3 linked regions of the Rhinolophus ferrumequinum genome follow. The protein of the gene in region 1 purifies or fractionates together with the protein of each later gene. This does not show direct contact. Links are inferred from orthologs where the notes say so. Each region holds a gene or a part of one and is shown in the gene's direction. Other genes may lie near its edges.

Region 1 (7,691 bases):
CAAGTATATATGGGCTCCTCCTCAATGCCAGGGACTTCAGTAGGCACTGGCTTTGTAAGGATGAAAACAAAGGAAGAAATACAATTAAACAACAAGGTAGGAAGAGTGTTTCTAGGGACATGTAGGATGCAATGGGAGCCTACCACTAGGATACCTAACCTTACTTAGAATGTTAGGGAAGCCATCCTCCAAAAAGTGACATATAAGCTGAGCCCTGAAGGACAAGCAGGAGTTAGCTAAGCTAAGAGTGAACAGAGGAGAGCTACATTCCAGGCCTGGAAGCATAATAAGAGTATGTAGAATATACGAATGGCTGCTAGAAGGTCTCTGTGGCTGAGACCAAGAGTGCAAGAGGAAGGATGGTATTGAAATGTGGCTAAAGAGTTAGACGGGGCCCAGATACAGAAAGAAGACCTTATAAGTTAAGAAATTGGGATGTTATGTGGACCCTTAAGGACAACAAAAAGGGTTTTAAGCAGGGAAGTAGAAGGAATAAACTTGAATTAAAACCACTCCAGCTTCAGAATGGAAAATGAATTGGAGGAGAGCAAGACTTAATGTAAGAATATTGTTTTGTGGATGAGTGTGATAGTTCATGGTCTAAATGATAGTGGCCTAGACTACAGTAATGATAGTAAAGATGTAGAAAGATACGTAGATTTGAGAGTGAGAGGTGTGTCCCACAGGACTTGGTCTTTACAGGCTGTGGAGGTTAAAGGAGAAGTCAAGAATGTCGACCAGGCTTTCAGTCAAAGGAACTGAGTAGGATATTGGTGCTGTCTAATCCTAAGCTAAAAAGCTGATTTTAACTGAAATTTCAGTTTGAGAAGTTGAGCTTAAATTGAGGTAGAATTTGAATTGCCACGTGGAGACATTCATAAAACAGTGGGATTTATGTGTTTGGAACTCAATGGATAGATCAAGAATGACAACATAGATTTAGGAATTGTCAACAAGGAAACAGAAATCTGGGGAACGGATAAGATTTTTAAGTAGAGAATATAGATAGAGTAAGCAGGAAACAGACTCGAGACAGATTTTTGATAAATACCCAAAGAGTGATAGAGACACTGAGCGTGCAAAGGGGCTGAGGCATACTATGAAAGTAGGAGGGAAAGCAGAGGGAAGGCAAAGGAAGAGAGTGCTATAAGGAGCAGTCAATGGTGTCATGGAAAGGTTAAGATGGATAAGGATAAAAAGTGCTTATTGGATTCAGTGACAAGATGGAGATAATTCCAATGAAGTAGCAACAGCCCGCTGGTGCATTGCAGTGTGAGATACAGGACAGCAAATAGTTTTCGAAGCAGCTGATTTGGAGTAGAGAATAAAGAGTGGTGACAGGAGGGAGAAGTGCCATCAAGGAAGAGTTTCTGTTTGTTAATATAGGACAGATTTAAGTATGTTTATGTTACAATTTTGAGCACTTGCAAGAATGATACCAGAGTGTGGAAAGCCTGGAATTCTAGGTAGGAGACTTTGTTCTCAGGCAATTGGGAGCCCTTTCAAGTAGGAGAATGGCACGTTTATTGTCATGCTGCAGGAAGACTTATCTTGGAGTTGGGTAATACTTATCCCAGGGGACATCCTACTGTAAAGAAACTCATCCCTGCCTTAAAACAAAGCAGATGTTTTAGTTTTGGGTTCTAGGTGAGGGTGTCAGCAGAATCTTTCACCACGCTTTTTGGCAGTCTTTACAACTTTGTTTCAAAATTGTTTCTAATTATCTCAGTTTTCTTACTAGGACAAACATATTTGTTAAGCTTCATTTAGTTTGCAATTGTTCCAACCTTAATATCATTATAATTAGACTTAAAAGGCTAGTTCAGCAGTCAGCCTACTTAGTTGATAAAACGTAGCCAACTCTGTAGTTTTCTTTTAGTCTTAAGATCCTTAAGTAACTCTTCTGCCCCTATATATCAACCTTTGTCATAAACAGCAGCACAAGGAATGAAAAGAAAAACTATTCAAGTGCAAATTAATAGTATTACTGGGGGAGTGTAGAAGGGATGGTGTTTAACGGATTTAAATGAAAGAATACCAGTCATACATTTAGAGCAAAAGCAAATCTTAAATGTGCTTGGTAAACAAGATTTAATACAAGACAATAAATATAAACCCAAAGGGGAAGGTAGGTGAGCTTCAATATCTCCAGCCTTGTTCATAAATCACAATATTGATCAAATATAAATTAATGCATGAATGTATACATTTGTGTCTGGGAACATATGAAACCTCATTTATTACGTGAGAATGAAGCAGAAAGCAATTTTTATATTATGAACACCTAAATTAACTATTTAGCATTTTTAAAAATCTTAGCTGAATGGATTTTGTCTACATGAATCTATTCTTTACATATCTACTTCTCAAAAGAAAAATTTGTAGTGTGAACTATCACTCCCACTATAGCTTTTGCTTTGGTTCCTAGGGAAGAGAACTTAAGACCAAGGGGTGAGCATTAAATGACAATACTCATGAAAAGAGATGAAGAAAGGAATGTCTGAGAGTTTCATTTGTAATTCTATTACCCATTTCCTCCCAATGACCAACAATATATCCTGGGAGTGGCCACTGCACCTTTTTATTTTCTCCCTTGGTGAGATTTGCTTCGCTAAAAGATCTACCCTTCAAATAATGGTTATTGTTTAAACTGAAATATCAGACAAGCATATTTGTATAGTCTATAAGTAAATGTCTAATAATATAAGCTATTCAATGATACATTTTAAAATATTCAGTACCTTTATAAGACGCCATGAAATATTATGTCCTTGGGGCAGAGATATTGCAAAAAAAAAAAAAAAGATGTAACGTAGTAAATCAGTGAAAATTGTGCCTAATTGGGAAGGTAGGGGAGAAAAAGGTCATTTTCAGTAGAATTAATGGCACGTTTCCGTCTGTAACCGCCAAACTCAAACCCTAGATCAGTATTCTCAACTCTGGCTGAGCTCTCAGAATCTGTGTGGCTTTTTAAAAACGTGTGCCAGGTCCCCACTCCAGATCTACGAAATCCAAATATCCAGAGTTTTGCCTCTCTTTGCTCTACATTTATCTTTTTTAAAACCCCTTCTTCATCCTGATGTACAGTCAGGGTTATCACTGCTTCGGAGCCCACAGCTACAAATGAGTTGTTAGAGAAACAACATACAGGGTTATATGAGGACCAGAGTAACCTAGTAACAGGAAAGGTTTTAGGGCTAGCTAGAATTCTCTAGGCCTTTGATTGGAGGGATAGACTAAGTTACAGAATTGGGCACATGGCTATAAGGGCACACAAAAAAAACTCAGAAGACATAGTTAAGACTTCTCTTGGACTGCTTGACTTTGTAACATCCTAGACAGTTTAGAAAATTGGTGTTCAATTCAAGTTCATTCATAAGAAACAAGTGTGAGGCAGGAAGATACAAGAAATCCAATGTAGGAAGGGTCCCAAGTTACAACTCAAAATTCAAGGTCTTGAGCGGCTAGTACTCAGTACTTGACGTATGGCTAGTGTAAAGCAAACTTAATTGAGATAATCTGTGAGTCTATGTAAGGAAAATACACACAATTCTTAAGGACATTGCGTGAAAAAACTGTAAGATGTATCATTAATAATTTTACATTGATTGCATGTTAAAATATCTTGAATTATTGCACTATTAAAACTGTTTCTTATTTTTTTAATGGGCCCCTAGAAGCCCTAAAATGACACTATGTTGCTCACATTATATTTCTGTAGGACAATGCTAATGATTAACACTAACCTGGGGAGACTACCTGGTACTAAAGGGGGGAGGGAGGAGTCATAGACTAAGATGGAGGAAATAGGCTTTAAAAAGCCATTTAAAAATAAACCTCTAGAAAAGATAACCAGTGTGTAGGATCACATGGGCAATACCGTGGGAAGAGCGCTTGGAGGAGGAAACGATTTAATTTCCTTGAAAAGCCCGGAAGAACTGAAGTTCAGCATTTAAGGCTCCTGATGTAACCAACCGGCCTCGCATTGGAAGCCGGGGCAGATGGTCGTGGGAGGGCCCTGCCCCAAGGGAGGAGCATTCCCGGGTTTTGCAGGGAAGGCCCAGGAGCCACGCGGCTCAGGAAACCACCCCGGCGGCCGGATAGGAGGACATTTCATTAGCTTCCCCCTTCGACTCTCCTTAGGCTCTTACCCTGAAAGAGGGAAAGCTCTTCCCCAACCTGGGGAAACAATGCCCTCCGACCCATGTCTATACTCCACTCCATTGCCGCTCCCACACTGCGCAAAAAGACCCGACCCAGGTGGGCAACAGAAATGCGGGAAAAGGAAGAGACCCAGGTGTGCGCTTCAACTGTATGCGCCTGCGCGAAAACCCCTACTCAGTCCTTAGTTTCAGCCTCTGCTACTGCGCCTTCATCCCGCCTCCTTTTCCCCGCCCCCACCTGGGTACGTCACAAAGAGTGACGTATAAAACGAACAATCGCAGTCCCTCTCCTCGTGAGCCAGTAGGCAAAGGGGAGGGAGGGGAGGGGGGAGGGGAGAGGACGAAAGGAGAAGGCTTCGGGGGCCCCAGTCACCCAATCAGAGAGCTCTGGGGAGGAGCGGGGCGGGGCTCGAGAGGAGGGGTGGGGGGGTGGGGCTAGGGAAAGGACTTAGAAGGCTGCGGCGAGGAGAGGGCGGGCTCCCAAAGATTAAAAGCGCCCAATCAGAGCGCGCCGGCTTCATTTGGAGAGCGGCGTGGGGCGTCGCCGCCGCCGCCGCGCGCGCCGGGGGCTGGTTAAGGCCATGAAACAAAAGAAACCCTGAGAGGGGAGCCGCTGCCACCTCCACCAGCCCGCCCCGCTGCCGTCCCCACCCACCCACCTAGTTACCTACCTCTGCCGCCTTCCCTGGCCCCTCCACCCCGCCCTCTCCGGTCTCCGGGCGGCCCTGGCGCTCCTTAGCCCCGGTCGCCAGCCCTGTCGCCTCCCCAGAGGAAAGGTGTTTGCGCGCTGAGCAGGGCCCAGGCCCTGTCCGCCATGGGGCTCGCCGCCCGCCGCGCCTGACCCGGCCGCCGCCGCCGCCGCCATTGACAGCACGCTGCCGCGATGCCGAGCGGCAGCTCCGCGGCCCTGGCCCTGGCGGCGGCCCCGGCCCCCCTGCCGCAGCCGCCCCCGCCGCCGCCGCTGCCGCCGCCTGCGGGCGGCCAGGAACTTGAGGGGGACGGGCTCCTGCTGAGGGAGCACCTGGCCGCGCTAGGCCTCGACGACCCCAGCCCGGCGGAGCCCGGTGCCCCGGCGCTAAGGGCCGCGGCGGCGCAGGGCCAGGCCAGGCGGGCGGCGGGACTGTCTCCGGAGGAGCGGGCTCCGCCCGGCCGGCCCGGGGTCCCGGAGACGGCCGAGCTGGAGCTGGAGGAGGACGAGGAGGAGGGGGGGGAAGCGGAGCTGGACGGAGACCTGCTGGAGGAGGAGGAGCTGGAGGAGGCAGAGGAGGAGGACCGGCCGTCGCTGCTGCTGCTGTCGCCGCCCGCCACCTCCGCCTCCCAGACCCAGCCGATCCCGGGCGGGTCCCTGGGGTCGGTTCTGCTGCCCGCCGCCGGCTTCGATGCCCGGGAGGCGGCCGCGGCGGCGGGGGTGCTCTACGGAGGGGACGATGCCCAGGGCATGATGGCGGCGATGCTGTCCCACGCCTACGGCCCCGGCGGCTGCGGGGCGGCGGCGGCCGCCCTGAACGGGGAGCAGGCGGCCCTGCTGCGGAGGAAGAGCGTCAACACCACCGAGTGCGTCCCAGTGCCCAGCTCCGAACATGTCGCTGAGATTGTCGGTCGCCAGGGTGAGTGTGAGGAGGGTTCAGCGGGGCATGGCCCCGGGCGTGGGTGGGAGGACGAAAGAAACCGGCTTGGGGCAGGAAAAGCGAACCTGGCGAGTCCCCCAAGTCCACTGCGAAGGGGTCTGGGAGGAGCCGAGGGTCGGATGGGTCACCTTTCGAAAACCCACGGTGTGCCGCTCGTTTTGCATGATAAAAGGTATTAAGTTTCTCGAGCCACCCAATCCGGCGGTGTTCACTTTACTCGGGCTGTATTCGTGGAACACCAGGCTGGCGTGACACCAAAAACCTCAGTGAGGTGGTAAAAGGTCGGGTCGATTGTGCATTCGGTGTGGTGCCCGGGGAAAGCTCCGAGATTGCAAGTTTGCTCCCCGACTCTGGTAAAAGCGCTCGGCTTCCCTTCCAAGAGCTCGTTCAGATGGGGAAATGCACAGAAATGGAGGCTTGAAGAGAGACTTCCTTCGCGAGGGAAGGGGGATGTTCAAGTGGTGGGTTTCATCGCCACCCCCCACCCCTCCGCTATTCAGAAACTTAGCCTTTGAAGTGCAGCCTAACTCAGTTGATCTTATTGTATTCCTTTTATATTTTAACTCTCAAAAAGGCACACTGGCTACCTTGTAGTATGCTTTAGTGTACACGATGAAGAAAAATGCAACAGTAAGGTTACTGAGTTAAGGAACTTGATGCATTTATACCGTTTTCAGTAAATTCTCTTCCCTTGCCAGCACACCAGTACTGCAGACAGACTCCTCCCACATTGTTCAGACAAAGGACCTATGTCTCAGATTCCAGGAGTAGATTTGTGAAGGTGGGGGAAGGGGATGCCCAGAGTACCTCTGTATCCGACGTTTTTAGGGAAGGTCCAATGGCCGTTAGTGTACTTTTTCTCTCTTATTAAATATACCTGCAGCTGCCTTATTACTAAATGGTTTTGCTTGGTTGATACATGTTTCTTTGCTGTTAGGTTGAGAGCATTGTTGGGGTCAAATAAAGAGAAATGATGGCGCTGCTGCTTAAAATGATCTCATCTTTCCCAAGTGGTCTAAAGTACACATAAATAAGAGGTCTGTTGAAATGGTGGTTTCAAATATCAGGGTTGGCTCATTTCTTACCTCTACGATTTTAATAAGAAAAACCCATCTGGATAGAGGAGATGGCTTATTTCAGACCCCCTGATGATTGGAACTTAAAGGCAGTGTTCAAAACTGGTGCCATTCAACAGAGAGTTTATTACTATAGTTTGGCAAATAACTTTAGCATGCCTTGTTTGGTTTTTGCAATGCTTAAGATACTAATGCAGGAGAGAACTATTTCACCTTACATAGGACAAAATTAGAACATCTCAATTTATAGATCCAGAATGAGTTGGCCTTTCAGTTAAGAACATCGAGGAATTGCTATGTATTGAGCTTGTATTTTGCCAGGCTTTGAGTTTATGGCAGTTGGGAAGGTGAGGTTGATTTCAGACAAACTTGGTGCCCTTGAGAAGCTAACAGTCTAGTAAACAATGGAATGACCCTAAACTAATATATAGTTAATGGCACTAACTGTAATGTGTGACAAACAAAAGTCGTACATACGAACAAGAACATAAACCCTGGGTGGCCTTGGAAAATGGACAGGGCTTTATCAAGTGGAGATGGAAGAAAGACTGAGGAACAATGCGAGGAAAGGTACAGAGGAATAATCTCTAGGTATGATTGGGAAGTTGCATTTTTCTTTCTCTTTTTTCTTTTTTTTTTGTTTTGTTTTGTTGATACTTAGTATCTGAAAAGGGGCTGGGAAGGAAGGTGGTGTGTGTTTGGGAACAGAGTATATGAAAAACCCTTATTGCCATGCTGGGATGATGCCACTTAGCACAAGTTGCAACAGTGTGCATATGGTGACAGTTTAGGATAATGAAGAACATTTACATGCCAATTTTACT
Region 2 (7,457 bases), on another chromosome or scaffold:
TTTTACTTTCAAATATAAAAGTAAAAATATTTATCAAAACAGGAAGTTGAACTAGGTGGGGCTAAGATTTTGATGTTAATTACAGTAAATTATCAGAGAATGTGAGCCATGGATGATTAATACTTTTTGAACCATAGAAATCATAGCCACAAGCCACTTGAGAAGAAACTATAATCTATTTTGACAACTACGTGTCAAAATGTAGGCATCAATTAAAATCCCCAAAACTCACTACATTGAAACTATACCTAAGTTTTCAAGGTTAAAATGCTGTGGTTCTTACATTTCTCTCTTTCAAAGAGTTATACTTTATATGACTTTCTTTATCAGTTGTGAAAACTTCTTGTAGTCTAAAATGCATCACAGCAAGGTTTTTAAAAATGTGATTTGCAGTTAAATGTGCATTATTGAATTTACATACTTCAAAGAATATCCTCACATAATATTTTAGAATAATTTTTCCGGGACAAAATAGGGCATACGTAAGTCAGGTCCCTTAGAATCCACATTTTTTCATTTGTAAGAAAACTTACATATAATTTGTATCTTCCAAAAGTAATATGAATAAAAATGAAAAAACATTAACTCTTCATACCTACAAATTACTGACTCTTCTAAAGCTCTAAAAAGAGTTATTTAAAGCAAGAGATCAAGATATCTAGGGAATCCAACATCTAATTTATGTGTAAAAGAATTTCAACTTCCATGTTGAATTTTTCTGTTCAATTTGGAGTATTAAATATATCATATGAAATATTTCAAAGCTCGATATGGTCATATTTGTCAAAGACGCAAAATTCTGTGGTCCTTAAACAGCACAGATTACTGAAGAGTGATGCATTTCTTTACTCTTTAAGCTTGAGCATTTTTTCTTCCAAATTGTTCTCAGCTACCAAGTTTCTTTTAAAATGCTCTCAATTACCAATTTTGTTTTTAAATGCTCCAGCACATTACTGTACAAATCTGGGCAACAAACTCAGACTCTTGACCACAGCATTTTCAGCCCTCTTGATGTTCCTGGTAATATACATGCTTCCTGTGTTTGTAATCTCGAAACATTAGGACAATATTGACCTTTAAAATGAAACTAACAACATCCAACATCACTTATCGTCCTCTTACATACACCTAATGGTTTCTGCCCTGCTTTTCATACATTGGTGCTGATGACTTTCTTTAAAAACAAAACAAAAAAAAGTAGCCTTAAAGAAATGTAGTACAAAAAGTGTAAATCTCTAAAGAGGTTAGAAAATTATAGTCCCAGGTTTGCCATTTCCAGTGTAAAGAGTGACACAATCGGTGACCATCCATCGAAAGATGAAGCCATAGTCTTTTATGATCATAGACAAGAGAGATGCTTTTGAGAAATGAATGTTATCAACCACAAAGATTACAAAATACCTCATGCGTTTCACTAATAAAACGGTTGAAATCACGATTTGCCTTAGTTCGTTATTGAGGGCGACTGTGTCCTGAACCCCTGTCTAGCCAATTCTGACACCCAACCTGCGCAGTGCTCCTTCCTCCCCCGCACGCCTCTAACATTCCCTCCTCACACAAATGCACACACACGCCCAGCCCGGCCAGAAGATAAAGCTAAGATGGCAGCGAGCAAAGTACGGGAGCCGCACTCCGTGGGGTTGGAAAAACAAAAGCAAAGCCCTCTATATGCTTTCATTCTCCATATTTCCTTGAATAACAAGAGCCCCTCCCTCTGAATCCCCCCCCACACACACACGCACAAACGCACACAAGGGCAGCATAAAGCATTCAGTAGTTGTGCGCTCAAGATTGGCGGGAGGGGACGCTTGCTTTGCACATTCAGAGAAACCCACATCTCCCGTCAGCAGTGACGGTTCAGGTGACCCTCGCTTCTTGCTTTGGGGACCACCCTCCCCTTCGTGTCCCCTTGACAGTGGAATTAAAGGCGACTCCAAACGTCCTTTCCTTCCTGGGATGCACCCCCTATTCCGCCACCCCAGGGGAACCTTCCAAGGTCCCCAGCTGCCAGGGCCAATAGCTGTAGCAGCTGCAGTGACCGGGAGTGCCCAGTGCAGAGGCAGGAAGAGGAGGAGGAGGGACAGAAAACGCTGCACTGGCTATCAATTTAGAGTAGAGCGGCCGCTGCCGCTGCCGTGGAAGGAAACGCTGCCAACCGCAACAAACGCCACCCTCGGATACCTAAGTGAGCATGTGTGCGACTCTGCGCACGCCTAGTGGCGCCGCTCTTGACAACGGATTCCTTAGGAAATGATCCTGTTACCGGGTTTTGTGTGTACCCAGAAGGCCCAGGAAGGGGCCTGTCTGGGACTGAAGGGTAGGGTACAGAGCGGAGTGAAATCGAGGAAGAGGTGGGAAGAACTGGAGATCAGTGCAGCCGCTCTGGTCAGTCCCCACTAGAAACTGTAAATGGGCAATGACTGCTTGTGCCACCTCCTAAGCCTGAACTGGAAATGTTTGTCTGTGCAGCCATCATTCATTCATTCAGCGAATATATATTTCCCTCCTGCTTAGAGCTAGAGTCTGTTCTAGGAGCTGGGGATGTAATGGGGAAACAGACCCAGACACCGTACCTGTCCTTATGAAAAAGTCTAGAATGTTTTGTTTTGTGTGTTACCATTTGAGAAAAGCCGTGTGCCAAGGAGGGCATCCTAGGTACCTGAAGTCCTTCCATAATCTCGTAGTATTTTGACCATTATTCAGAGGACCAAACTTGCCCAAAGATATACAAGTAGCAGAGTCAGGATCCAAATCCCAGCCGGTCAGAGCCTTTGGCTACTTCCTAGACTCTTACAACAGAATGAGCCCTTGCAGCAGCTTCTGCATTGTTCAGACTACTAACTCCACCAGCCTTTAGCTGCCTCTATGCCTGTGTCTTGCCTCTGACCCTTAGGAAATTAGGGTTGGGCAGGGGGGCTTCCTGTTCAACACCGAGCTTGTAACTGTGCTGAAATATCAGGACAGGAATTTAGCCTAACATACTTATTGGATACTTACTTTGTGCAAGGTTCTAAATTAGGGGCTGAGGAAGACACAAAGATAAATGAGAAGCTCTGAGGGAGCTTATAAAATAATTGAAGAAACAAGACAAATACAAAAATTGTTTGACAGAGTTACTCACTGTACTAAAATACTATGATTCCCCATGGCAGTCCTTTATCCCTATGTTTTCATTTTCTCTTTTGCTCTTTTTATTTTGTAATCAGAGTGACATCCATCAACCATTTAAAGCCTCAGATGAAATGCAGTCCTTCAGCATTGCCTCCCCTCTAGGTAACTAGAATTAATTTACTTCCCTACTTCTCAAAATACTAAATAGGGCTGCTTTTTTTTTTTTTTTTAAGAGAAGGATGTTCAAAGAAGAGGTACAGACATAAGAAGAGTTAGTAAATAGATAAAGAATATGGTATTGGGATGACAGGACTTAATCATTTTTGTCAGGGGTATACATTTATACTCTTCCAATTGAATCAAAAGGCTAAAACTAACAGGAATCGGGGTGCACTGGCACATGTATTTCTAGAGCATTTACTTAGTATTGGTCAGTAAAATAGCTTGGAAAAGGGGACTCAGCAAATGTTACATTTTTATAGATCACAATAAGATCTTTGGTACATACGCCATTTCCAGATGTTATACATAGTCACAATCATAGTTTCCGGTCATAATATAGAATTATCTTTAGTAATTTAAATCTGGGAAGAAAAAGGTAAACCACTAAGTGACCACTGTCAAGAGATAAGACTGAACTTTTATGGTGAGTGTGGAGTCAACAAAACAATATTTAAGAAAAGTATTATTGTGTTAAGATTTTGGCTCTGGTGTAAATGCTGAGAACAAGAATTTAGGAATGACTGGCTTGTGGATACGCTCATATCTGTGAATTCTACTTTCACAGAAAAAAAAGGATGCACTAAATTATACCTGTCTTTTGTAATCAAAAGCTATTTTAAACAGACTTAAATCCTACAGACAAAAATTGCAAAATAATAGCACCTAAGGGACTTCTATTTCAGTTGGCTTTCTCTGCCTTGAATTCTGAATTAACTAGCACTATTCACGGTAAATCTGCATGTTGGCAGCACACGCTTTTGGGGAAGGGGAACAGGAGAATGTAACATTCATTTTCAGTCGGTGGGTACATTCCCTTTTTTTTTTTTTTTTAGGTCCCAGTTCTCCCACCTGAAGGGAACCCGTTACCTGAAGCCGAATGCCTGCAGTTGACAGCCTGCCTACCACTTTCCTTACTCTTCCTCAAGCTGCTGGTAAAATCCGGAGAAGTGGATTTCTTTCAGATTCTGTAAGGCTCAACCCCGAGGCTGAGGGAGTGGTGGAGAAGAGGGGGTAGGGAGGGAAAAGGGCTGGAGTGACTGAGCATGTGCGAGGTGTGGCGCATGCCCAGTGCGGCCGGTAGCTTCCCATTGCGGGCAGCTCCGGCGGTGGCAGCGGTGGTGGCGGCGGCGGCAGCGGCGGCACCGCCTCCTCCTCACACTCCGGAGGTGGCGGGGTTAGATGAGCGGCCCCAGTAGCGGCGAGGGCGGTGCGGGGGGGAGGAGGAAGAGAAGGAGGAGGAGATCGCTGTCTTTGTAGTCTCCCTGCTGCGGGAGCGAGAGGCCACCGCCGGAGCCGTCGTCGTTGGAAAAGGGCTGTGTGTGTGCGCGCGCGTGTCTGCCTGCCCGGCCCGTGGGGACGAGGCAGTCGTGGCGGCGGCGAGGATGATGATGTGCGCAGCGACTGCCTCCCCCGCCGCCGCCTCCTCGGGGCCCGGCGGGGACGGATTCTTCCCAGCCGCCACCATCTCTTCCTCCCCGGCGCCGGGGGCGCTGTTCATGCCGGTTCCCGAGGGCTCCGTGGCTGCCGCGGGGCTGGGGCTGGGGCTGCCGACCGCGGACTCTCGGGGTCACTACCAGCTGCTGCTGTCAGGCCGGGCCCTGGCCGACCGCTACCGGAGGATTTACACCGCTGCGCTCAGTGACAGGGACCAGGGGGGCGGCAGCGCTGGACACTCGGCCTCCAGGTGCGTCTCCGGGTGCCCTTCCTTGCGCCACATGGGGCATGTGCGTGCTCCCGTGCGCGTCTGCGTGTGTGTGTGTGTGTGTGTGTGTGTGTGTGTGTGTGTGTGTGTGTGTCTACGTACTTATTTACTGAGCTGTCTTCCAGCAAGCGCTTGATGCTGAATGGTAGAAGCACTTACTGAGATAGGAGGGTGCGGTGGCTTCAGTTTCTGCTCTAAATATGTGTGCCTGGCTTTGTGTGTGTGTGTGTGTGTTGGGGGGACGGGTTAGTGAGGGTGGGAGGGTAGCATGTGATGTTAGAAAAGGTGATGGTTCGGGTCGTCATGACACGTGTGTGTATTGTTGAGGAAGGAGGAGGAATGGATAGTGGGTTAGAGAAGGTAATACGAGAAGAGAATTTGCAAGAGTGGTCAGGGAAGTGGCGTTTCCAGTCTCTGCCGCAATTGTATTTGCACGTATTTCTCACCCCCCCAACCCCCATGACATTCCATCCTCCCCTTTCCATCGCCCTTAAAAAATCTGCCTTTCACTTAAGGGAGCAATGGTGTAGGTTAAAGATAGTGTCATTCATATACATACATAAATATATACGTATACACGTGTATATATATATACGTATATACATATATATGTGTATATACATATATATATATATATATATTTTTTTTTTCCCCATCAGGCTGTCGATTAGGCATGGGGTTTCAATTTAAGAGAAAAAAGGATGCAGATGGCAATTTATGTGGATGTGAAAGGTGTCTGATACGTATTTTTATAGTTGTACTTTGATAACTGGACCTTTAGTCTTCTGGAAATGCCATTGCAATTGCTCTTATGTTCTGATGTTCCATCAGCCATTTCCCTTCATCTTGTGTTCTATTTCCTCTGTCACTTATAGGTTCTAGAGGAGAGGGGGTTTTGTGGGAAAAAGGGCAACACTGAAGAACTTCAGAATATGACAGCTGTATAGTGTTCAACTGCCACCAACTAGAAAATTTGAGTAGCTCCTGGATCTCTTCCAGGCTCACTACACCTTCAGTTTCTTTGATGTAGGAGATGATAAATCACTTTCATTTTCTTTTTCTTAATATATGGGTGTCTTTTTGCTAAGTGCTCTTCTATTGTGTGTGTGTGTGTGTCCATGCCCTTACATGCCACACACCCCGAAGGATGGTGACTGACTTGTTTCACCAGCTTGGCTTTGACAGTGGTAATTGGGAATTGGCATCATCTTTTTTCTCACAGCTTCTTAAAATACACGGGGAAATGGGGAAAGCATAGTAGGATTTTGTTAAATGTTACAGCGTTTACTGTATTTACTGAATGCAGTTTGTCAGGTAATAACCAGCTGTCATTTTCTTCTATTAGTGAAAGAGGGTAGGCTTAAGTCAGGTATTTGGTATTTTACCAGTATGTATTGTGGCTCTTATCTCTTAGAGAGAGTTGTAAAGGTGGAGCTTTGTTCACAGTTTTTCTGGGTAAACCAGTCTCCTCATGTCTGTAATTCAGGATTGGGCACATGAGTAGTTTAATCATATGGATATAAATGTGTATAACAGCCTTTTGCTATCTAAGCTGAAGGCCACAATGACACAAGTCTGTTTCTTCCTCATGTTTTAAAAAATAGCACAAAACCTCATTAGACAGTTTGCTCTGATAATTAGCTATAATTGTGAGCTGTGAGTCTCTAAATCATGGTACTGTAGGTACATCTTTACAAAGAATTTGAATTTATTAATACTTTGTATGTTGTTTCCAGAGTTATGCAGTATTTGTGACTGGTATATTTCCATTTTAACTTTTTACTACTAGTGCAGTAGTACCATTTCTGTGTGTCTAGAATTATATTAACAGTTTCAGGCAAAATTAATATAGATTAACCACGTATATAAAAGTTGGGGCTGATTCTTAGTTTTTGGCCCATTTTTGCAAGCTGCCAATTAAAATTAATGAATTAGTTCAAGTATTTGAAGAGGTACTTACGGAAACCGGCCTTAAGTTGTATAATATTGCTGTCTACTGCTTCTTCAGAACATGATTTTTTATTCTCATTCACATTATTTTTTCTAAGTCTTAGCCTGCAACTCTTCTTTATTGAAAATTTGCTGAAGAATTCAATCATATTTCTTACTAAATGTGATGGGACAGTGGAGCTAGGCTTTAGGTTCTGAATGAAGATTATTAGTTGTACAGGGGCACCAGCTGAGTTAGGGGAGCAGATGTGATCTTTCAAGGACAGATAATGGAGCAAGAATAGAAGATGAAGCTTTCGCGAGCATCAAGTTTAAAAGTATGAGAAAAAGGAAACAGTGAAGGAAGCTGAAAAGAAGATAAAAATGCTAAGAAGAGAACCATGGGATGGATAGTAGCACCTCTGGTCCTGAGAAAGTGGATTGAAAGTCCTCAGTGTTGTTAAATGCTGAAGAAAGTGAGAACACTTTCCAG
Region 3 (7,603 bases), on another chromosome or scaffold:
GTTAATTTCTTTTGTTCTTTAGATTCCACATATAAGTGAGAACATATGGTCTAGGGAGAGCTTACTTTAAATCCCTAAGTCTAGAAGTTCTCTCCTTAGCAGGGCCATTGAATTGAGACCTGAAGGATAAGGGGCAGCTATGGGGAAAGCTGCAGGAGGGGTGTAGAGATGTGTCTGGAGGGTCAGAATGGCCAAGAGGGAGGACAGTGTGGCTTGAGTGTTTAAGCTGGGGAAGGACACCACTGACTGATGTTATAAAGAGCAGCTGGGAGAGTGTGGAGAATGGACCGTGGGTAGCCAAGATGGGAGCAGGGAGAGCAGCAAGGGACGTCACTGCAAAGTTTCAGGTAGGGTTTCCAGGCGGGAATTCCCGCCTGTTTTCAGGAATTTTTTTTGCTTTCCCGTTCCCGAATACTGATATATAAACTGTTTTCTGTTCTCCACGATGAATCGTTTCCACAAAGTGACGGCCAATAATACTACCAACCACCTGGGTTCAAGGAGCCGATTTTCCCGATTTCCCGACCAAATTTTCTCGAGATTCAAGAACGGAAAAAGCGAAAAAATTCCAGAGAACGGGCAGGAATTCCCGCCTGGAAACCCTAGCGATAAATAGGAAACATGTCTAAGAGATACATTGTGAGTAGTATGTTTATTTCCCATTGTGGGTATTACTGGCTTCAAGGAGCCGATTTTCCTGATTTCCTGACCAACTTTTCTCAGGATTCGGGAACGGGAAAGCGAAAAAAATTTCCTGAGAATAGATGGGAATTCTTGCCTGGAAACCCTAGTTCCAGGCAAGAGATGATGGTGATGGTGGCCTACACGGGGCGGGGCAGTAGTGATGTAAGGAGGTGGCTGGCTCTGGGATATGTTGTGCCCTTGGTTTGAGGTGACAGACAGGAGGGATTCTAGCGAGAGTGCCTGGGTGATTGATGGAGGGCCCATTTGTCAAAATGGGAAGACTGGGGGTGAATACAGTTTTTCTGGAGAAAGTTGAGAGTTGATTTGCTCAGGTCAAAGTCTTAGAAGCTCTTGATGGTTCAATCCATGAGCTCCTTTAAGACAGAGCTGCTGTGTCTTAAAACCAAAATGGACTTTCCCAAACCTCATCTAGACCACCAAACGTGGATTTGTTTGTGGCCTGGTCTTAAAACTTAGCAGTGGGTCAACCCCTGAGCTCCAAAATGTTCTTTCTCAAATCTGGTCCTATAATTCTATGCCATCCAATATCAATGCCACTATGAATGGCCTGTGTCTACTGAGGGCTTGCAATGTGGCCAGTCTCAACTGAGATGTACTATAAGTAAAAAACCCTGGATTTCAAAGACTTAGAAAAATAAGCATGCCAAATATGTTGAAATGTAATATTTGGGTATATTGGATCAGATACAATATATTATTAAAATTAATTTCACCTTTTCTTTTTACTTTTTTTTTAATATGCCTGGAATAAATAGAAATTTATACCTGTGGCTCCCACTGTATACCTACCGGGGGTGCCACAAAAACGTATACACATGACTGGTATTCATCTTTTGTTATCGGTATATATTGAGTATTACAATTTTAATACAGTTCCCCCCCCTTTCTTCCGCCTCTCCCACCCCCTACTCCCGTTGTTTCTCAGTCTAGTTGTGTAGGACACAGCTCCCTGGCCCATGCTGGTATTATGAGCCTTGTGCTCCCCTCTGGTGAGGCAGTCAGTTGCCAGTCCTTGGTCGGCTGCTCACAGCAGCTCATAGCAGCTCTCACCAGCTGCCAGCCGCTCATGCTGGCCACCGGCTGCTCATGGTGGCACACAGTAGACGGTGGCAGCTCACGCCAACCTCTGGCTGCACACTGCAGCCCAGCTCCAGGGAGAGCCGTTGTTCACAATCTTAGCTGTAGAGGGCGCAGCTCACTGGCCCATATGGGAATGGAACCTGCGACCTTGGTGTTAGGAGCACGGCGCTCCAACCACCTGAGCCACCGGGCCGGCCCTAATATGGTTTTATCCTTTCTTAAAATATATATACATTTTTTTTTGGCACCCTCTGTATATCGGTAAGCCCTGCTCTAATTCAACAGGGGTCAAGTCCACAAGCTCCTAAGGGGGCACCATGTCCACCCCACATGCAGGTTTCCCCAAAGTCTCCTTTGCCATTCTGACTCTTTAGACCTCAGACTGCCTTTGCTTTAGACCCTGTCTTAAAAGTTTTTGGCTCCTTCAGCTGCGGCAGCCATTGAGGAGCACCAGCCATGGTCCTGCACTACCCCATGGCCATGAGCCTCAGCCAGGGCCACAAGTGACCAAGAAAGTGAGCAAGTGGAGGCACAACTGACTCCGCTGCTGGCGCCTCACCCGAGTTCTGTGGGACATGATCTGAGAGGTGTGCGGCTTTGCCCTCTATGAGTGGCGCCATGGAGCTGCTTAAGGTCTCTTAGGACAAGTGAGCCCTGAAGTTCATCAAGAAAAGGGTGAGGACACATTTCTGTGTCAAGAGAAGAGAGGAGCTGAGCAGTTCTTACAGTCATGAGGAAGGCAGCTGCCAAGAAGGACTGACTGAGCCCCATCCCCCTCTGTGTAATAAAACCTTTTCAGAAAAAAAAAAAGTTTTTGTTAATTCATGGGCTCTGGAGGTGGTTGGGAGAGGACTGAGTTTTCCTGTATATCCACACTGAGAACTCAGAATTAACTCCATCTTACTCCAGGTGGGTGAAAGGTGAAGGGTTGGAGGTGGTGGGTGAGAGGAAGGTGGAGAGCTGAGGTGGGTAAGAAAGTGGCTTTCCCCCTTACTTAGAGAAGGACTTTACCTGTTCTTGGGACTCTGGCTGTCTCTCTTCACATTCCTCAAAAAGCGGAGTAGTTAGAACCTCCACTGTGTGTGTGTGTGTGTGTGTGTGTGTGTGTGTGTGTGTGTGATATCTATATCTATCTATCTATCTATCTATCTATCTATCTATCTATCTATCTATCTATATAGATAAATTTTTTTAATGGCATTATCTTCTGGGAGAAAGTGCCTCCTCCTATGTGACGAATGGACCCCTCCAGTCCTTGGATGCTTAACATACCTTCCTTAAAAAGGACTGTTTTCAACTCCTGGTCCTAAGAATTTTTTATTTTTAATGGGCTTGTTCTATGTTCTTTAGGGGCAGACAGCACCCCCAACTGTTATTAGGAATGGACTCCCTTGGTCACTAAAACAGCTGAGTGATGTCTGTCCAGAATACACTTTCCCAAGCCCCATTCCTGGAAACCCAAATGGACAGATCCATTGAACCCGGAAGGTGGGCTCTTCTCACCCTAATCTCCATCCCCCCAGGACTCAGCCTGAACGTTCCCGCCAACCAGGACACTCCACCAAGGCTCATTCCAAGAATACTAGGTTTCAGAGATCTGAAAAGGGTAATGGGTGGGGTTTAGTTCCTCCGTGACAGAAATGGACTCTTCCAGTTCCCTTTGCCCCAAATTGCTCAATAGCCTGGGGCGTTGGAGTTCCGGAGGCTTTGACTTCCCAAAACCCAGTCAACCAGAGCGGGTCTCTGGGGCACTGAAGGGTGGTGGTTGGGCCAACCACAGCAGATCTACCTATTCCTTCCTTTTAAACAGCGTTCTTCAGTACTGGGTCCCATTCTTGCTCAGGAGCTGCAAGTCTGGTGGAGAGATTCACAATTTTGACTTGATATCTGTATAATGGCGTTATGATTGCGACAAAAAGGCATTGCCTATTAAAAAGTCGTTAAAAGCCAAAATATAATTTAAATTCCGATTCTGACACTTCCTAGCTGTGTGACCTTGGGCAAGTCATTCAACCTCTCTGAACCTCAGTTTTGACCTCTGCTTAATGGGACGAGACTTGAATTACTGTGTCCTCTGCCTTGGGATTCTCGGTCTCCCGACAAGTTAGGTCTCAACTTCTTGGCCGCTAAATAAGGGAGGAGGAGGTGGTGGTGGGGAAATCTTAGAAGATTTAAGGAGAGTAGGTGGAGGAAAGTAGGGAGAAAGGGGAACAGACACACGCTTGCGCAGTAAACACCTCACGCTTTCTTGCCCCTCCCATCCCCTTCTCTGCAGCAGGGAATTGCAGACGACGCTCCACCTATCCCAGACCAGCTGAGCGACACCTTCCCTTCTCCTTCCTTTTCCACCTTTCATCACCCTGCTCCAGCCCACATTACCGCCCAATGGTGGGCGGGAGCAGGACGGCCCGGCGAATCTGCGAGGTCTGCGGGGGCGATCTATTCGCCCATTGGCCCGAGTCAAAGCAAGTTCCGCCTCCTCAAGCCCGCTCCCCCGCCTTCCTTCACGCCAATCCCTCCCTTGTAGAGAGCGTTCGAATCCAATCAATATCCCAAGTATCCGCGCGTAGGGGGCGGTCCCACAGTACGTAACCGGACTCCGCCCGCCTCTCGGCAACGCCTCCTCCCCCGAACGGAAATAGCGGGGAGCTGGACCAATCGTAGCGGCGTGCCTTTGCCCTGCGGCCAATGAGAGAGGGAGTGAGGGAGATCCTGTGTCTGAGCAGCAGTGACCTGAGCCAATGGGCGGCTGTGAGCTCAGACGGCGGAGGGGAGGGAGGGGCCGGGGGCGGAGCTGCGGCCTGCCAGCCCGCCTGCCTGTCCGCCCGCCCTCCCCCCCTGGCCGGCTCGGCTCCTTGGCGTTGCCTGGGGTCCTTTCCTCCCGATCCCTGTCTGCCAGCCCCCGCTGCGCTGTGCCCTGCCCGGCCAGGCCTGGAGCCGACACCACCGCCATCATGCCGGCCGTGTCCAAGGGCGATGGGATGCGGGGGCTCGCGGTGTTCATCTCCGACATCCGGAACTGTGAGAGCTCGGCGGGGGGACACTGGAGACGGGGAGCGTGGAATTGAGGGGTTCGAGGGTTACAGAGAGGCCCGGGGGATAGAAAACCATTGGGGTCGTAGAGGGAAAAGATAGAGAGGACCCGGGGGGAACTTTAGGGTGGGGGGAATGGAGGGGCTTAGGGTGTCATAGAGTGCCTCTTGAGGTGACGACACGGAGTGGCTAGAGGCGTCTGGGAGGGTCTTAAAGGAGAGGAGGCTAGTAAGGTTCCAAGGATGGGGGCATAGAGGTGTCCCTGTGGATGATAGCCGGATGGGTCGTATTAGCGATGGGGTTAGAGGAATCCCTGATGTAGATACAAAGGGAAGGTGGTGGATGGGTTGCGGGGGGGCGGGGGGGGTATTCTGTGGAGTGATAGAGTGGGAGGAGGCTAGAGGGGCCTGGGAGGACGTGAAACGCTGGGAGCCTAATGGGGCCGCGCTTGAGGGCCTGGTTGAGAGGTTGTCATAGAGGGAAGAAGCTAGATAGGTCATTGAGGCCCTTGGCTAGTACATAGAGAGGGCCTGGGGATGATAGAAAGTCCCAGGGGTTGGGAAAGAGAGGTGGGAAGGTGGGGGCCTATAGCGGGACCCTGGTGAGGGACAGAGGGGCTCCAGGATGGAGGATTGCTTAGGAGATATTGAGGGCAGTGCAGAGGCTTGAGGGGTTACGGAGGGGAAAAGAGGGACTCACGGAGTGTAGAGGAGAGACACTGCAGGTGAGGGTCTTGGAAGAACCTGAGACAGAAAGCTGGGGCCTGAAAAGGGGAGGATATTATAAAGTAGGGGCTTGGGGGATGTTCCAGAAAGGGAAGAGCCCAGAGCTCAAAGAAGGGGCCAGGGAGCCTTAGGAATTTGTGAGGAAGAGATCTGAAAAGCTGGGGAGTAGAGGAAGCCTGGTCTCAGAGAGGGGTCAGGGAGCATGACAGTTCTGAATCTATAGCCCTGTCCCTTCTGACCATCTCAATATGGGACAGTGAGCACCACCAGGAAGGATTGTCATGGCAATGGGAGGCCTGGCATCCAGTCAGTCCCAACTCCTGGGATCTGGTGTTGGTATTTGGAGCTGCCAAGAGCTTCAGAGGCTGTTCCACATGGGATTTGGGGGCAGCTAGACCTGGGTTTGAGTTTAAATGCTGTCACTCCCCAGTGGTGTGTTAATGTGTGTGAATGAGGCCTTTTGCACATTCCAGGCACCGGGAGGATCTTGGCTATTGTTCTTGTTATTTTGCTGGATCTGAGGAGTGGCCAAGGATCTAGCACATAGTAGATGTTCAATGAACAGGAAGGGTGGAAACTGTTGGTATCAGGTGGTTGTCATGAAAAGGGGTGGAGCTAGGAGGGGTTGTGGACTAGGAGGGGTTGCCGGCTGGTAGAAGCAGGTGTGCATCGCCTCTGATACCTACCAGACATGAGACCCTTGGCATATCACTTTAACCTCTCTGAGGCTCAGTTTGATTGTCTGCAAACCTCAGTGAGAATAGCATCTTGCCTCTGAAGGTTCATTCATTCATCTGACAAGTACTTTTGAATCAGTAAAGTGTGCCAGACACTGTTCTGGGGACTGAGGCTACAAAAGTGAACAAAAATTCCTGCCCTTGGGAGTACCATGTCATGAGGGAGAAAATAAACACAGAGAACCTGCAATACATGATACAATGTCAGACTATGCTGTGAAGAAAAATAAAGAAGGGGAGGCAGGCAGAGGGCCCCGGACTGAGAGGGTGCTCAGTGAAGGCCTCCCCGAAGAGCTGACATGTGAGGGGAGACTTGAGTGAATGGCGGGAGTAAGCCCTGTGGATCCAGGCAGGGGAACAGTGCATTCAAAGGTCCTGAGGTCGCGGCACACTTGGTGTGTGTTCCCATATGAGTGAGGGGGCCGATGTAGCTGGAGCCAAAAGAGGGAGAGAGGATGGGAGCTGACGTGTAGGGCTTTGTGGGTCACAGTGAGCCCTTTGGCCTTTCCCTGAGTGAAATGAGAGAGGCAGCAAGGTTTTAAGCGCAGGAGGGACACGAGCTGATTGATGTTTTAAAATAATTTTTCTGGCCGCTATGAAGAGCACAGACTGGAGGCAAGAGCAGAAGCAGGGAAAGAATTAGATGCCTATCCAGGTGCGAGATGGTGTTGGCTCACCTGGGGTGAGAAGGGAGTGGGGAGAAGTGGTTGGATTTGGGATAAATTCTGTAGGATTTGCAAAGGGATTGGATGATGGGGTTAGGGAAGGAAAGAGAAAACAGGTTGGTGTCACTGCAGGACCCCAGCGGGAAGCCAGAGGACAGAGAGGAGACTCCAACTTGGGGACAGTGGAGGTAATTTTGCCAAATGTATTGGGGCTGGACAATCAGGGCTTCCCCTTGTCTTTTTCTCATCAGGTATATGTTGAGTGCCTGGTATGTTTCTCGCCTTATTATAGGCGCTGGGGATATAACGGTGAATAGGACAGACTTGTCAGTGTCCCTGTGGAGCTCCTAGCCCCGTGAGGGAGACCTGTACTGCATAAAAAATGCAGCTGTCCTTGTTACAAACAGTTGTATACAGATGTTGATAGCAGCATTATTCATGATAGCCAAAAAGTGGAAACAACCCAAATATTCATCGATAGATGAATGGATAAACAGATGTTTTCCACCCACACAATGGAATATTATTCAGCCATTAAAAAGAATGCAGTACTGATAACCTAGATGCTACAACACGGATGAACCTTGAAAACATCATTCTAAATGAAAGAAGCCAGACACACAAAAATGTATGATTCCATTTATCTGAAACGTCTGGA

What was found. The genes of interacting proteins can lie anywhere in the genome.
Region 2: the proteins of MEX3C (region 1) and MYCBP2 purify together in Homo sapiens (affinity purification with mass spectrometry; 3 studies listed by BioGRID and IntAct, with this or other methods). This does not show direct contact. The link is inferred for Rhinolophus ferrumequinum from reciprocal best matches to the Homo sapiens genes MEX3C and MYCBP2.
Region 3: the proteins of MEX3C (region 1) and AP2A1 purify together in Homo sapiens (affinity purification with mass spectrometry; 3 studies listed by BioGRID, with this or other methods). This does not show direct contact. The link is inferred for Rhinolophus ferrumequinum from reciprocal best matches to the Homo sapiens genes MEX3C and AP2A1.

What each region holds. Positions count from the first base shown.
Region 1 is NC_046302.1:41,643,188-41,650,878, reverse strand, and holds the start of MEX3C (RNA-binding E3 ubiquitin-protein ligase MEX3C), read left to right. Parts: upstream 1-4,682; 5' UTR 4,683-5,046; coding exon 5,047-5,770; intron 5,771-7,691. UniProt on the Homo sapiens protein: E3 ubiquitin ligase responsible for the post-transcriptional regulation of common HLA-A allotypes. Binds to the 3' UTR of HLA-A2 mRNA, and regulates its levels by promoting mRNA decay.
Region 2 is NC_046287.1:28,147,625-28,155,081, reverse strand, and holds the start of MYCBP2 (E3 ubiquitin-protein ligase MYCBP2), read left to right. Parts: upstream 1-4,444; 5' UTR 4,445-4,715; coding exon 4,716-5,017; intron 5,018-7,457. UniProt on the Homo sapiens protein: Atypical E3 ubiquitin-protein ligase which specifically mediates ubiquitination of threonine and serine residues on target proteins, instead of ubiquitinating lysine residues.
Region 3 is NC_046298.1:44,813,916-44,821,518, forward strand, and holds the start of AP2A1 (AP-2 complex subunit alpha-1), read left to right. Parts: upstream 1-4,590; 5' UTR 4,591-4,739; coding exon 4,740-4,806; intron 4,807-7,603.